Cricetulus griseus: one gene and its partners. The protein of the gene in region 2 purifies or fractionates together with the protein of the main gene of each other region. This does not show direct contact. Links are inferred from orthologs where the notes say so. Each region holds a gene or a part of one and is shown on either strand. Other genes may lie near its edges.

The links.
Region 1: the proteins of Rps6ka3 (region 2) and Fgfr2 purify together in Homo sapiens (affinity purification with mass spectrometry; 3 studies listed by BioGRID and IntAct, counting the BioPlex papers as one, with this or other methods). This does not show direct contact. The link is inferred for Cricetulus griseus from reciprocal best matches to the Homo sapiens genes RPS6KA3 and FGFR2.
Region 3: the proteins of Rps6ka3 (region 2) and Fgfr1 purify together in Homo sapiens (affinity purification with mass spectrometry; 4 studies listed by BioGRID and IntAct, with this or other methods). This does not show direct contact. The link is inferred for Cricetulus griseus from reciprocal best matches to the Homo sapiens genes RPS6KA3 and FGFR1.

What each region holds. Positions count from the first base shown.
Region 1 is NC_048596.1:70,566,639-70,570,283, reverse strand, and holds part of Fgfr2 (fibroblast growth factor receptor 2), read right to left. Parts: intron 667-3,645; coding exon 400-666; intron 1-399. UniProt on the Homo sapiens protein: Tyrosine-protein kinase that acts as a cell-surface receptor for fibroblast growth factors and plays an essential role in the regulation of cell proliferation, differentiation, migration and apoptosis, and in the regulation of embryonic development.
Region 2 is NC_048604.1:94,187,213-94,191,344, reverse strand, and holds the start of Rps6ka3 (ribosomal protein S6 kinase alpha-3), read right to left. Parts: upstream 2,931-4,132; 5' UTR 2,699-2,930; coding exon 2,630-2,698; intron 1-2,629. UniProt on the Homo sapiens protein: Serine/threonine-protein kinase that acts downstream of ERK (MAPK1/ERK2 and MAPK3/ERK1) signaling and mediates mitogenic and stress-induced activation of the transcription factors CREB1, ETV1/ER81 and NR4A1/NUR77, regulates translation through RPS6 and EIF4B phosphorylation, and mediates cellular proliferation, survival, and differentiation by modulating mTOR signaling and repressing pro-apoptotic function of BAD and DAPK1.
Region 3 is NW_023276807.1:58,202,561-58,206,294, forward strand, and holds the end of Fgfr1 (fibroblast growth factor receptor 1), read right to left. Parts: coding exon 3,690-3,734; intron 3,360-3,689; coding exon 3,222-3,359; intron 2,932-3,221; coding exon 2,826-2,931; intron 2,722-2,825; coding exon 2,545-2,721; 3' UTR 568-2,544; downstream 1-567. UniProt on the Homo sapiens protein: Tyrosine-protein kinase that acts as a cell-surface receptor for fibroblast growth factors and plays an essential role in the regulation of embryonic development, cell proliferation, differentiation and migration.

The DNA of each region.
Region 1 (3,645 bases), on a different chromosome or scaffold from region 2:
TGTGTAGGGTGAAGAGGACTCTGTGTGCTCTGACTTGGAATATCTCGGTCACTTGAGAAATCTGTGGTACATCAGGTACCAGTGAGGAATTTCAGAAATAGATCAGCCAGGCATAGTAGTCTATGCCTGTGGTATCGGCTTGTGTGTGTGTGTGTGTGTGTGTGTGTGTGTGTGTGTGTAGGGTGGGGGTGGGGGTGGGGCGATGAGTCTAGGAGTTCAAGCCCAGCCTGGGCAACAAAGGAAGACCTTGTCTGGAATGAATAGCAAGCTGACACTTTATGTGCCTGGCAGTCAATGAGTACAGTTCACTGTGATTTCACTTGGCCGAAAATAATAACAACTTTCAATCAGAAAACAGCTACAGAAGAGACAGAGTGTCACACTTGCAAGCCCACTCACCTGTGACATTCACCATGAAGTACCAAGTGTCACTGTCTACCGTCCTAGCTGTAGTACAAGCATAGAGGCCGGAGTCTCTAGGTGTGGCGCCTTTTATCTGCAAGTACTCCCCAATAAGCACTGTCCTATTGCTGGGCCCCAAGTGCACCCCATCCTTAGTCCAACTGATCACCGCGGCATCTTTCAACATGCAGTGCAACTCTAGCGACTCCCCGGGGGCGACCACGTACGATTCTGGTTGGGAGATTTGGTATTTGGTTGGTGGCTCTGTAGAACAGGTGGGAGAGAGAAGACAGAGGCAGATGGGAAAGGAGGGAGAGGAGAGAAGGTCCAACAAAGGTCAGTGGAGGCCAGTTCTTTCCCAGGAGACGCTGTTCTTGTTTTACAAATGGCCTCAGGAGCTGCCCATCTCTCACCACACCCCAGAAGCCAGGAAGCAGCCCCCACACAGACTTGACTGACAGCCCTGGAAACAACGGCCACAGAAGCAGCCAGAAGCTGTCCTGTGTTGGTTTGTTTCCACATACTGTAAACAGGGCTTTAAAAACCAGCCATGCCCCAGAGTAGAGGGAAAATCCGTAAGAAAAGTCTAAAGGTACTGATTGCCAAGTTAGTCATTCAACATGAGGGAGGTGTATGCGATCTCTCTCTCTCTCTCTCTCTCTCTCTCTCTCTCTCTCTCTCTCTCTCTCTCAGACTGACTTAACTATTTACTCATGTTTCACTTAGCCTGTTACCACAGAACCAAGCTTTTGTGAAATGTCTCAAATTCAAGGGCAAATGGACCCATCTACACACTCTTGGTCATTTGGGAAGTGGGGACTATTGACTTTCTCATTTTTGTTAGCTCTCATGGTCCAATCAGTACTGAGCTGGTTCTGTATTGGGTGAGCTGGGAAACGCTGTCTTCCTCAAAATAATACATGCCTGGCTACCCTTTACATCAAAAGAAAGAAAAGGAGGGGGGTCCCTGACAATTAATGGCCCGATACTGCAAATCAGCTTCTGAATAAGGATGCCCACCTCTCATGTTACTAGTGAAGCCAGAGCCATCCTGCCCCAGTCCCCAGTCTCCTCAACATCCTTCTCTTCTTTATGAACACATTGTCCTCCCTCCTGCTCCTGTTTAGCCCAGCTCCTCCTTTGATGCCCACATTAATCATGGTCCTCCATGATCCACCACCCCATATCAGTCACCTGACTGGAAATAAAAGAGATCTCTCCCACTCTAAAGTCCATCTATCTGCACCCCCCCCCAAAAAAAAAACCCCACTGGAATAGACACATTGCCTGTGAGTGTCCTGACTTCCTGAGGAAACCTTCGAGTCCCGGGTGGAAAGCTCAACTCTGATAGGTCTTCATGCCTCACTCCCATCTCCATCCTGGGGCACCTTTGACATACACAGAGAAGGCAGGCATACTGAACGTCATCACAGTCCCTGAAGAGGCAGGGAGAGATGAGACCACTGCCCTTCCTCAGGGCCAGGGTGACCCTGAGGGCCCATGAAGTAAGCTTTCATGCCCATAGTGAGAGCTGTGAATGGTACCCAGAGTCTTGAGCCCAGAAAACACAATGCTTTCCGTCTACTCTGGGACGATTCCAGATCTGGGCAGCAACATCTGGGCATCACAAGGCACTTATTCTGCCCAGAGCCCACTCAAAAGAACAAATCTCCCACATGACTAAAATACAGTCCATTCATGCTTTAGTCCCACTATTTAATAAACATCTGGTCCAAGAAATACCAGCACAGCAGCAGCAGCAGCCAACACAAGGGGCCCGGGGCTTTTCACAGGGGATCCCATTCAAACGCACACAAGCCAAGAGGGGCACAGACGTTAAACAGTGCATGAACACAGAGGGAAACCCACATTAAGGAAGAAGATAGGAGTTGATGAAAAAGAAAAACAAAAGGCGGAGAGGGGGGTGGGCAGAAAGCAAGACCCAACTGACAGCCAGGTAAAGTTTAAGGGCTTGTTTTTCTCACTCGTCCACTGTTTATTGAATATCTACCACAGGCCATGCTTTGTTCGGTGTGCTCAGGAAGCAACAGGAGACAAGGCAGAGTCCCTGCTCTGGTGGACCTTCCACTCTAATAAGGCAAAGGAAATTAAATAGAAAATTGACAGAAAATATGAAGTGTGTGAGGTAGTCTTAGAGTGAGATACCTAGGTAGCAGGCCACCTGGAGATGGTGGATGAAGGCCCCACGGGCTGCAGGAGTCAGCAAAGCAAGGCCTAAGGGCCAAGCCAGCCACTTGCTTTCATAAACAAAGACTTCTTGGAGCAGTGCCATACTCCTTTGGGTATGTATTGTCTGGGGTTGCTTTTGTGTTACAAGGGCGGGCTGGAGTCATTGCAAAAGAGATCTCATGGCCTGCAAGCCCCAAACATTGAAAGTGTTGCCCTCACAGAAGGTATTTCAGCTTCTGTTGTAGGAGGTGATGGGAGGAGGCTCTTACAAGGAGTAGCAGGTGCCCTGTGTGCTGGCAAGTAAAGCACAAAGCCAAATTTGAAAGATGTAGAGAGTTCAGTTGGGAGGTTCTCAGATCAGGTCTCCCAGGCCTGTTTAAACCAAGAGGCAGCTGAACTGAGCAGCTAACAGAATGAGGGAGAGGCGGGTCTGTCAAGAAGGCTCAGAGGATGAAGGCACTCCTGCCCCAAGCCAAGACTGGTCCCAGAAGCCCATGAACAGGTGGAAACAGAGGAGAAAACTGACCCTACAAGACTGCAACTCTGACCTCCACATATGCAACGTGGCACATGAGACCACACACACACTCATACATCATACACACACTCAGTAGTACTAATAATAAATACCAATAATAATGACAGCAAGTAAAATAAAAGGTTTATATTTTTTAAGGTCAAGGAAGAGAAATATGGAGAGGAAGGGGGATTCAATTCGACCCCAACACTCACACTTCCTCTCACTCTAGTCCTAGCATCCCTGAAAGAGATTCACACAACATTAGAAAATGGTAGGGCCTTAAAGGCTACCCTACCCACTGAGAAGCCCTTCCTCCACATGATATCAACAAAGGCTCAAGACTCAATGAATTCAGGCTGCACTGCCAGACCATGCTGGACCAATTGGACCATACTGCACCACTATTTCTAGTTCTGCCATGAGAAACACAGGATGGAGAGGGGCTCTCAGGTAGTGCAGGGGACAGGATGTTTGGTAAAGAGGCACTGTCCCGGGTACAGGACACATGAGTGGATTTCCACTCTGCCCTGCAT
Region 2 (4,132 bases):
GAAAACACAACACTAACACACGAATGTGCAAGTGTGCACACACAACACACACTATATATAGATGTATATTTATATATAATATATTATGTATATTAATGCTTTCCCAAATCAGATCCTGTATTTGCTTATGAAGAATACATGATCTCTAACTATTATCATGTTTATGCCTTGACTCTTTTCACAAAAGATTTGAAGCACCTATTCTATTTTGGCTGTGAGCTTAGACTTTAATGGCTGAGCCATCTCTCCAGCCCGAAGCACCTATTGTAACATAAAGGAAAGCACACAAATTGTATCTACCTGGCTTCAAATATGGCTCTGCCATTCACTAATTACAATTTTTGTGCTTTTAAGTACTGAATTTAGTTTCCTAACCTGTAACAATGGAGACCACAATCTCTGCTGAGTTACAGGAAAGATTAAAAAACAGTAGGTACAGCACAGTACCTTTGCATATATATTAGATGCTAAATAGGCTTGTATTTTATTTAAATGCACACTATACAGAAAAAGGATAAAGTAGAATTTTTAATGATTTCTCTCTACATACTGACACGTGCCAAGGAAAAATGTGGATTAACAATTTAACAAGCAAAGGAAACAAACTATCTAAAGGCAATTTGTTGAGGTATAGCTTTAATTTTAAATCATTTTTAATGTATGATTGGATTAATTTTGAATCATATTTGTTTTTGTGTGTATTTAAAAAGCAGACTCATACCTGGGCATGGAGGCACACTCCTTTAACCCCATGCTTGGGAGGCAGAGGCAAGCAGATCTCTGTGAGACCAAGGCCAGCCTGCTCTACATAGTTCCAGGTGAGCCTGGGTTGTCTCAAAAAACTTTTAAAAAGTCCCACAAAACTAAATTAAAAAGCAGATTCTAAGTATATACAATTTCATTGACAGGTGTGGCACTTTGGGAACATTTTAATCACCTTGATAAACTGTATTTTTAAATGCGATTTTTTTTCTGAAGAAACAAAAAATGAAGAGGATCCCTTGCCAGACTGTTTTTCACACTATCCATTCAAATGGTGATTAAACATTCTAAATTTAACTTTGTTACTAAAGACTTATAGAATCACATCGGCTCTCAAATTTAAATAAAATTCTTGTATTTCTGTCAGTCTTAAAAACGCGATTTTTCTTTTTTCCTTAAAAAAAAACCATGGCAATATATATCTACATCTATGTCTCCTTTATTTTTGAACAGCATTTAGATATTAAATGCATTATCTAGTAGCAAAATATATTAAGTATGGGCTTGTATGCTTTATTACAACTCTTCCTGCATTTAGGAAGATCAAATAAATTATATGGCAGTGGAGTGACTAGGGAGAAAACCTGAAAGACGATTTGATTGGATTCCTCTTTCCTCCCCTTCCCCCTCCAGGAGATTGTAAGTGTCCTGCATCTCACACCAAACTGAGCCTGAGTTTTACTGACGTAACCAGTAACCCTATCTACCTCTCACACTGCGGAGGCCGGCAGGGGCAGCGGCTGCCGCCAAGTACACCACTCATCAGAGCCTGCCCCATTCCACCCCCGCGTTTCAGTCATGCTTTCCAGAAATGGGGTCACTCGCTCAGTAACTATTACACACACCCAGCCTATCATCCTGTAATCCCCTAAAGTCCGCTGCGAGGATAGAAGGCAGCGAAAAGTCAAGAAAGAAGAATCACAGACGCGCCACCATCAGGAACTGATTTTTCCACTCTGGAGAAGAGCGCTGATACCCTGGAATGGATCTTGTCTGTATTATTTTCTCAGATCTCGAGTTGATTCTGGGACAGGGCGGCTGCGAAAAGCTCGGTGCAGGGATGTGTTCGCAGAAATTCTGTTTTGCCTTGTTTGGGTATATTGTTTGGGCTTTTTGACACTGGGGTGGGTATCTCAGGGATGGTCACCAGATCCCGGGCGAAGAAAACCAGAGAGCCCATTACAGCGACCGCTGATCTCCTTGAATTTCACCCGCTCACCTCCACCGACAAGAAAGAAAGTTATACTCGGGGTCTTACAACTCAGTGACCACCCCCCAAACAGGGAGTAGGGGACCGGAGACGTCTGGTTTTTCTTGTGCGGCAGCAGAAAGCGCTGCAGCAGATGGGGGGGGGTGACCCTCAGTCCTGTACCCCTTACTCAAAACCCTCAACACTCTGCCCGGCGTGTGCCCGTCTCTCTGCAGCAACTCCCTCGCTCGGCCAGACTCAAGTCTTGGCTCCAGGGTGAACCGAACCCATTACCCCAAAGTCGCTAAGATTCCGGAGAAGCCCCCGGAGCCGGCAGGGCCAAACTTCCCAACTCCCCGCCGGCTCCCGCTCTGCCTCCTGCTTCCCCCACGCAAAGTTGATTAAAACCGGCTTCTTGCAAAGCCTCAGCGCCCACTCCAAAACCCCACGCGCCGCCACACCGGCAGCCGCCCCCCCAAAAAAAAGCCAGGGAGAGGTGAGGGTGAAGGAGGGAGGAATAGACAGATGGGCAAACCCCAAAGACCCAAAGCAGAATCCCGCACCCGGGACAAGATGTGAGCCCAAGAAGGTGGTCAAAGGGGCAGCTCCAGGGAAGAGAGCTAGCCGGCGGAGGCGTGGGGAAGGGGCGCGCCTGCCCCGCCGCCCGGCTGCACTCACCTCAGCGCTGTCGGAAGGGCTCTCCACAGCCATCTTCTGCCACGGGTCCGCCAGCTGCGCCAGCGGCATCTTCCCCCCCCCCGGCCCGCCGCTTTCACCACCTCCTCCCTCCCCACCCGCCCCACGGCCGGCCCGGCTCCTTCGCCGCTCGAGCGCAAGGCAGAGTCGAAAAGCCGCAGCAGAACAGCCGCGGCTCCCGAGAGCGAGCTCGACGCCGACACTGACCGCCCGAACGCCCAGCGCCTGGCCACAGCCGTCCGCACTCCGAGCGAGAGCCTCGCGCCGCCGCCAGGCACCAGGGCTCGCCCCTTTCTTCCTCTCCTCCTTCCGCCGCCCGGACTACGGCTCCGCCCCCCACCTCCCCTCCCCGCCGGTTCCCGCGCCCGCTTCCAGCAGAACAGCGACCGCCGCGCGCTCCCCCACTTCCGCTCACAACATGGCGTCTAAGCGATACCTGTCTCTCAGAGCGAGGCTGGGCCTCCGCCACCACCACCGCGCGCACCCAGGGGCGTGGCTAGTGCAGGACACGCCCTTGGGCCGCTACGCTCGGCTCCTCCCCTTTCCCACCCCCACCCCTCCCTCCTCCTTCTCCCCAGCTTTGGCTTCTGGGCCTCGCCTACTTTCAGGAAGGGCGAGCCCAAGAGATTTGGGGGCGTTGGCGGGAGATGGGGGTGGGGGGGAGAGAAATGGGCAATGCAGGAAGGACAAGAGGCTGGGTGACTTTAACTTTTACGAAACCTAAGCAGGTTGGGGGCTCATTGAGAGTGGTTCGCGCTCAGCTGGAGAAGCTAGGCAGGGCGCTGGGGGCGCAGTCCCGTGCTAGCAGCCCGGGGCGGAGGCGGGAGATGTCTTTTCGGCCTTTCTCCTCCAGGGGTGCGTGTGGGCGCGCCTAGGCTATGGGCACAGCCCCTCCTGACCCAAGACTCCCCCTCTTCAGGGTCACATGCTGAGTATTCACCTGACCCCTTTTCTCCTCCTTGGACGAGGACTCCAGAGGCTTCGTGCCTGGGAGCCAGCCGCATGGTAGGTTCAGCTCCCAGTTTGATTCAGAGCTTTTCAAGTTGATTCTCGTGTTAAATTGTTAGTATTTGGGGTTTTTTTCGTCCCACCCTACCTCTGCCCCAATAACCCTTCCCAAGTGCATAGAGCCCTCGAGTTTCAGCCCAGACTATCACACCCCTCCCTTGCTATCTAAATCTTCAAACAGAAAACAGAGGTTCCTTAAGGTTGCCCTTCTTGGCAGAGATTAAGGAGTTAGTAAAAATATCTTGTAGGCAGGAGCGCGGGGTTCCTGCTCCTCCGTTGACTTTAAATAAAAGATTAGATTTTTATTTTTTTTTTTTAAGTCAAGCTGGTCGTAGGCGGAGGAGAAAGGGAGGGGGAGGTTGTGACTCCTCCTCCTGCCCAAGAAAAGGAAGCCCTGGGTTAAGGGAACCCAATCCCCAGTAGGCATCGGAGCCGCAGAATTCTAAGACTTTGAGAATTAAGGGCCTGGGCACTTGG
Region 3 (3,734 bases), on a different chromosome or scaffold from region 2:
TGCACCTGGAGTGACACTAGACACAGCTCACACCTTACACAGGAGTCTGCCATAATAGTTGTTGGTGGCATTTTATTTAATAGTATCACCCAGCACTTGTAACAGGTCTAATTCTGCACAAGCCATATTGGTCACGTCCAGAGTTTTAGAATACTAAATCCAGGCCAAGGATTCCAAATGGAAGGTAGGTCTGTTACTTCAGAGCAAAGTGGCCCACTACCTAATATGGTGGGGGGATTTTAGGTTGCTGGCTCCACCCGGTGGCAGCTGATAGACAGACTTCATTACCATTAAGGCACATTTCTTACTTCATCTATGCTCAATCTTACTTACCTGAAATCAATATATTACATTAACAGAGCCAAGGGACTGATGATCTCTAGCCTCTGGCAATTAGAAAGGATTGAAAGGCAGTATTGATTGATGCCTTGGCCATATTTTAACCCCCAGGAAACCAGACAGATGCAGTACTTTGACAGCACATCTTCATTATATAAGCTGGATTCCCTTTCCCAAGAGACTCAATCTGGTCACCTAAGTAAAATAGCCATTTCATTTTCTTTCAGGTCAATTTCACTATGTTTTATTTGATAGCCATCCCTGCCTCAGGGGATATTTGTGGGCAATTTGAATAGCAACAGCAAGGACTTCAGTGCCTTATATACCCTAGCACCTTTCCTTGAGTCATACAAAGCACTCCGTAGATTCTCCTCCCATCCATCCACACAGCATTGAGTCAAGCAGCGCTGAGGCAGAAATTATGGTCACTGTTTTAACAAGGAAAACGACACTATGATATGGTCTCTAAGCAGATGATTCTGAGCTAAAATTCATTCCCTGGTCCTCTTCGCCGAATTATACCTTTCAGCACAAGAAAACACTTGTAATACTTTGATAGTTACAGGTTTACAGAGGGAAACAATGATAACAACTCTATGATGATGACCAAAACCACAGCCACCAAAAACACCCCGTTCAGAATGTATTTAAAGAGGCAGCCCTAACCCCTGCAGGATGAGGCCATATTGAATTGTCTTGTATTCCCCAGTGACCCAGCAGTAAGCACTAAGAATAGAGCGGCGCTGGTCTGAGTAAGATGATAAGGTGCCTCCTGAAGAGGACAATAACCACCAGCAGGTGGCAGGAGTAAGTCTCCAAGCAGACCCAAACCAAAGAAGATTGTTTTTCCTTTCCTGAGGGGTGGGTGGAGTTTGTACAGGAAAAACTACAAACCAAGATCAGGGATAGTCACAACAAATGCAACCTGGTAACAGGACTCAGGAAGGGCAGGATAGGAATGGGAAAGGAAATGGAGAGTAGGTTGGTTAAGACAAGACTAGCTTTGCATCTCTCATAGATGCAAAGGCGCACCCACACAGGGTTTGGGCTTTGAGTCTCTGTATGGTTTGTTCTACCGTTGGCTAGTCTCATCTCCTCTGAGGAAACAATCTATGATCAGAGGGAACAAGCTCTTAGTCTTGGTTCTCTGCCCTCCGTTACTTTGGTCTTCTTTCCCTGTCTTTCCCAAATCATCAGAGATAGAAGGGTCTGGGAGGTCAGGGAAATATAGAAATCACACAGTGCCAACAGCTCATGGCCCCTTAGTCCCTGTCTCCCTCTTTTGCAGGGGACATCTGCTCCCTTTTCACACGCCCAGGATAAAAATGAAGCAGCAGCAATTTTTATTGAGGGACCTAAACTGAAAATAGGTCTAAAACATAATTTAAAAAAATAAAACAGCAAAAGTAGCAAAAAATATATGACCTTTTAAAAAACATTTTCCTTTTTTTTTTTTTGTTTTTGTTTTTGTTTTTAATATATAGCAATGGATGCCTCCCAGCCACCAGGAGCATCTCACCCAACGGGTAAATCTCTAGTAACGGCCCTTTTAAAAAGACATGTAAATATATACTCAGATTTATACACTTTGTGTTTTCTTCATAGCTATGTACAGAGCCCCGAGTCTAGGGCTCAGCCCCAGGGCCACATCGCTGCCCCCGATCTCTGCCTCACTCTCTTCTGGTACCAGGTATTTGGTCAGCAAAGCAAATTAGTATTGGAATTAAGAAGCCACTGATACCCCCCATCTGAAGCAGAGACTGCCTTCAGTTAAGGCCCGAACAGAAACAAACCCCATTGCTTCAGTAGCCACAAGGCTGCTGCCACCAGAACACAGGAGGCCAATGAGTCAACCAGAACACTCCAGAGAGCTCTTGCTTGCACACCTGTTCCACTTGCTTCTACTCCCCAGGCCTCCAAGGAGTACCAGGCAGCAGGATGGGTCTTGGTCCAACACCTGGGAAGGAGGAAGTGGCTACCAGCAAGTACCTGCCTCTTGACTCCCTTCTCACATGGCCGGTTGAGAAGAGGAAGAGGGATCTGGGGCGGGGTGGGGAGTGACGATGGGGTAGGCCTCACAGGAAGGCCTCAGGTACACACTGGCTCTTGCCAGCAGCAAAGGAGAAGGGGAAAGGCAGTGTGTCCCGCAGGGAATTACGGGTGAGGGGCACAGGTGACGACGAAATTGGGGAAAGGCCGGGGAAGTCAGCGTCTTTTGAGTCCACCATTGGCAAGCTGGGTCGGGTGTCGGGGCAGACAGGGTTCCTCAGGCAACGGCTCATGAGAGAAGACAGAGTCCTCCCCTGAAGAGCAGGTAGAGCTCCGTGTGTCGGGAAAGCTGGGAGAGTACTGGTCCAGAGGCATCGACAGGTCCAGATATTCCTGTGACAGAAGGAAAGGATAGATGGCACACAAACCTTCTTATGGCAGGGTCCCCTTAGTGCCTATGTGATGACCGCTCAAGTTTCAGCCCAGAGTAGCTCTACCTGGTTGGAGGTCAAGGCCACAATGCGGTCCAGGTCTTCCACCAGCTGCTTGAAAGTGGGCCTCTGAGAGGGTACTGCGTGCCAGCAGTCCCGCATCATCATGTACCTGAAGCAGGACAGTGAGGTCAAAGATGGAAGGCAACAGCAGAGCTGGGCCAGAGGGCAGGGGCGGCATGACTCGGGAGGCTGCTCCCTCCAAACACACAGTTTCATTATCTGCCCTCCATGCTCCCACTTCCTTCAGAGCCCGAGGACTTCAAGAACCTCCCATGAGCCGCCACCTAAGGAGCCCTTCCTGATTTCCTCAACATATGACCCAGCTTGCCAGCGGTGGATTCAATGGTGCCAACTACCAGCAGGCCTTCCCCCACAGTCTTTCCCCCAATTCATGCTTACAGCTCATTGGTACAGTTAGTGGGCTTGTCCATCCGATGACCCTCCTTCAGCAGCTTGAAGAGCTCTTCCACAGGCACACCAGGGTATGGGGAGCCACCCAGAGTGAAGATCTCCCACAAGAGCACCCCAAAAGACCACCTACAGGAGAACATGGTGCCACTGTGACTTACGGCACAGGGCCAGGCTGCCCTAGGGTTTCTTTTCTATGTCCTCTTGAGAAGTCAGCAGGGCAGGTGCTCATCTTGAACCTCTCCACCCCCAGCACAGCCCTTAAGTTCAGGAGACAGGGCACAGGAGACAAGGGGGCAGCAAGGGGCAATGCAAAAAAAAGGCTGAAACATGTTCACGGGACAAGACATTGCCCTTCCCCACCCAATGATGGAAAGAAATTCTCAGCAGTCTAGAGATGCAAGACTGCTAGTATTCTTTCCCCAGCATATCCCGGGTAATTGTGTATTTCAAACTCACACGTCACTCTGGTGGGTGTAGATCCGGTCAAACAAGGCCTCGGGT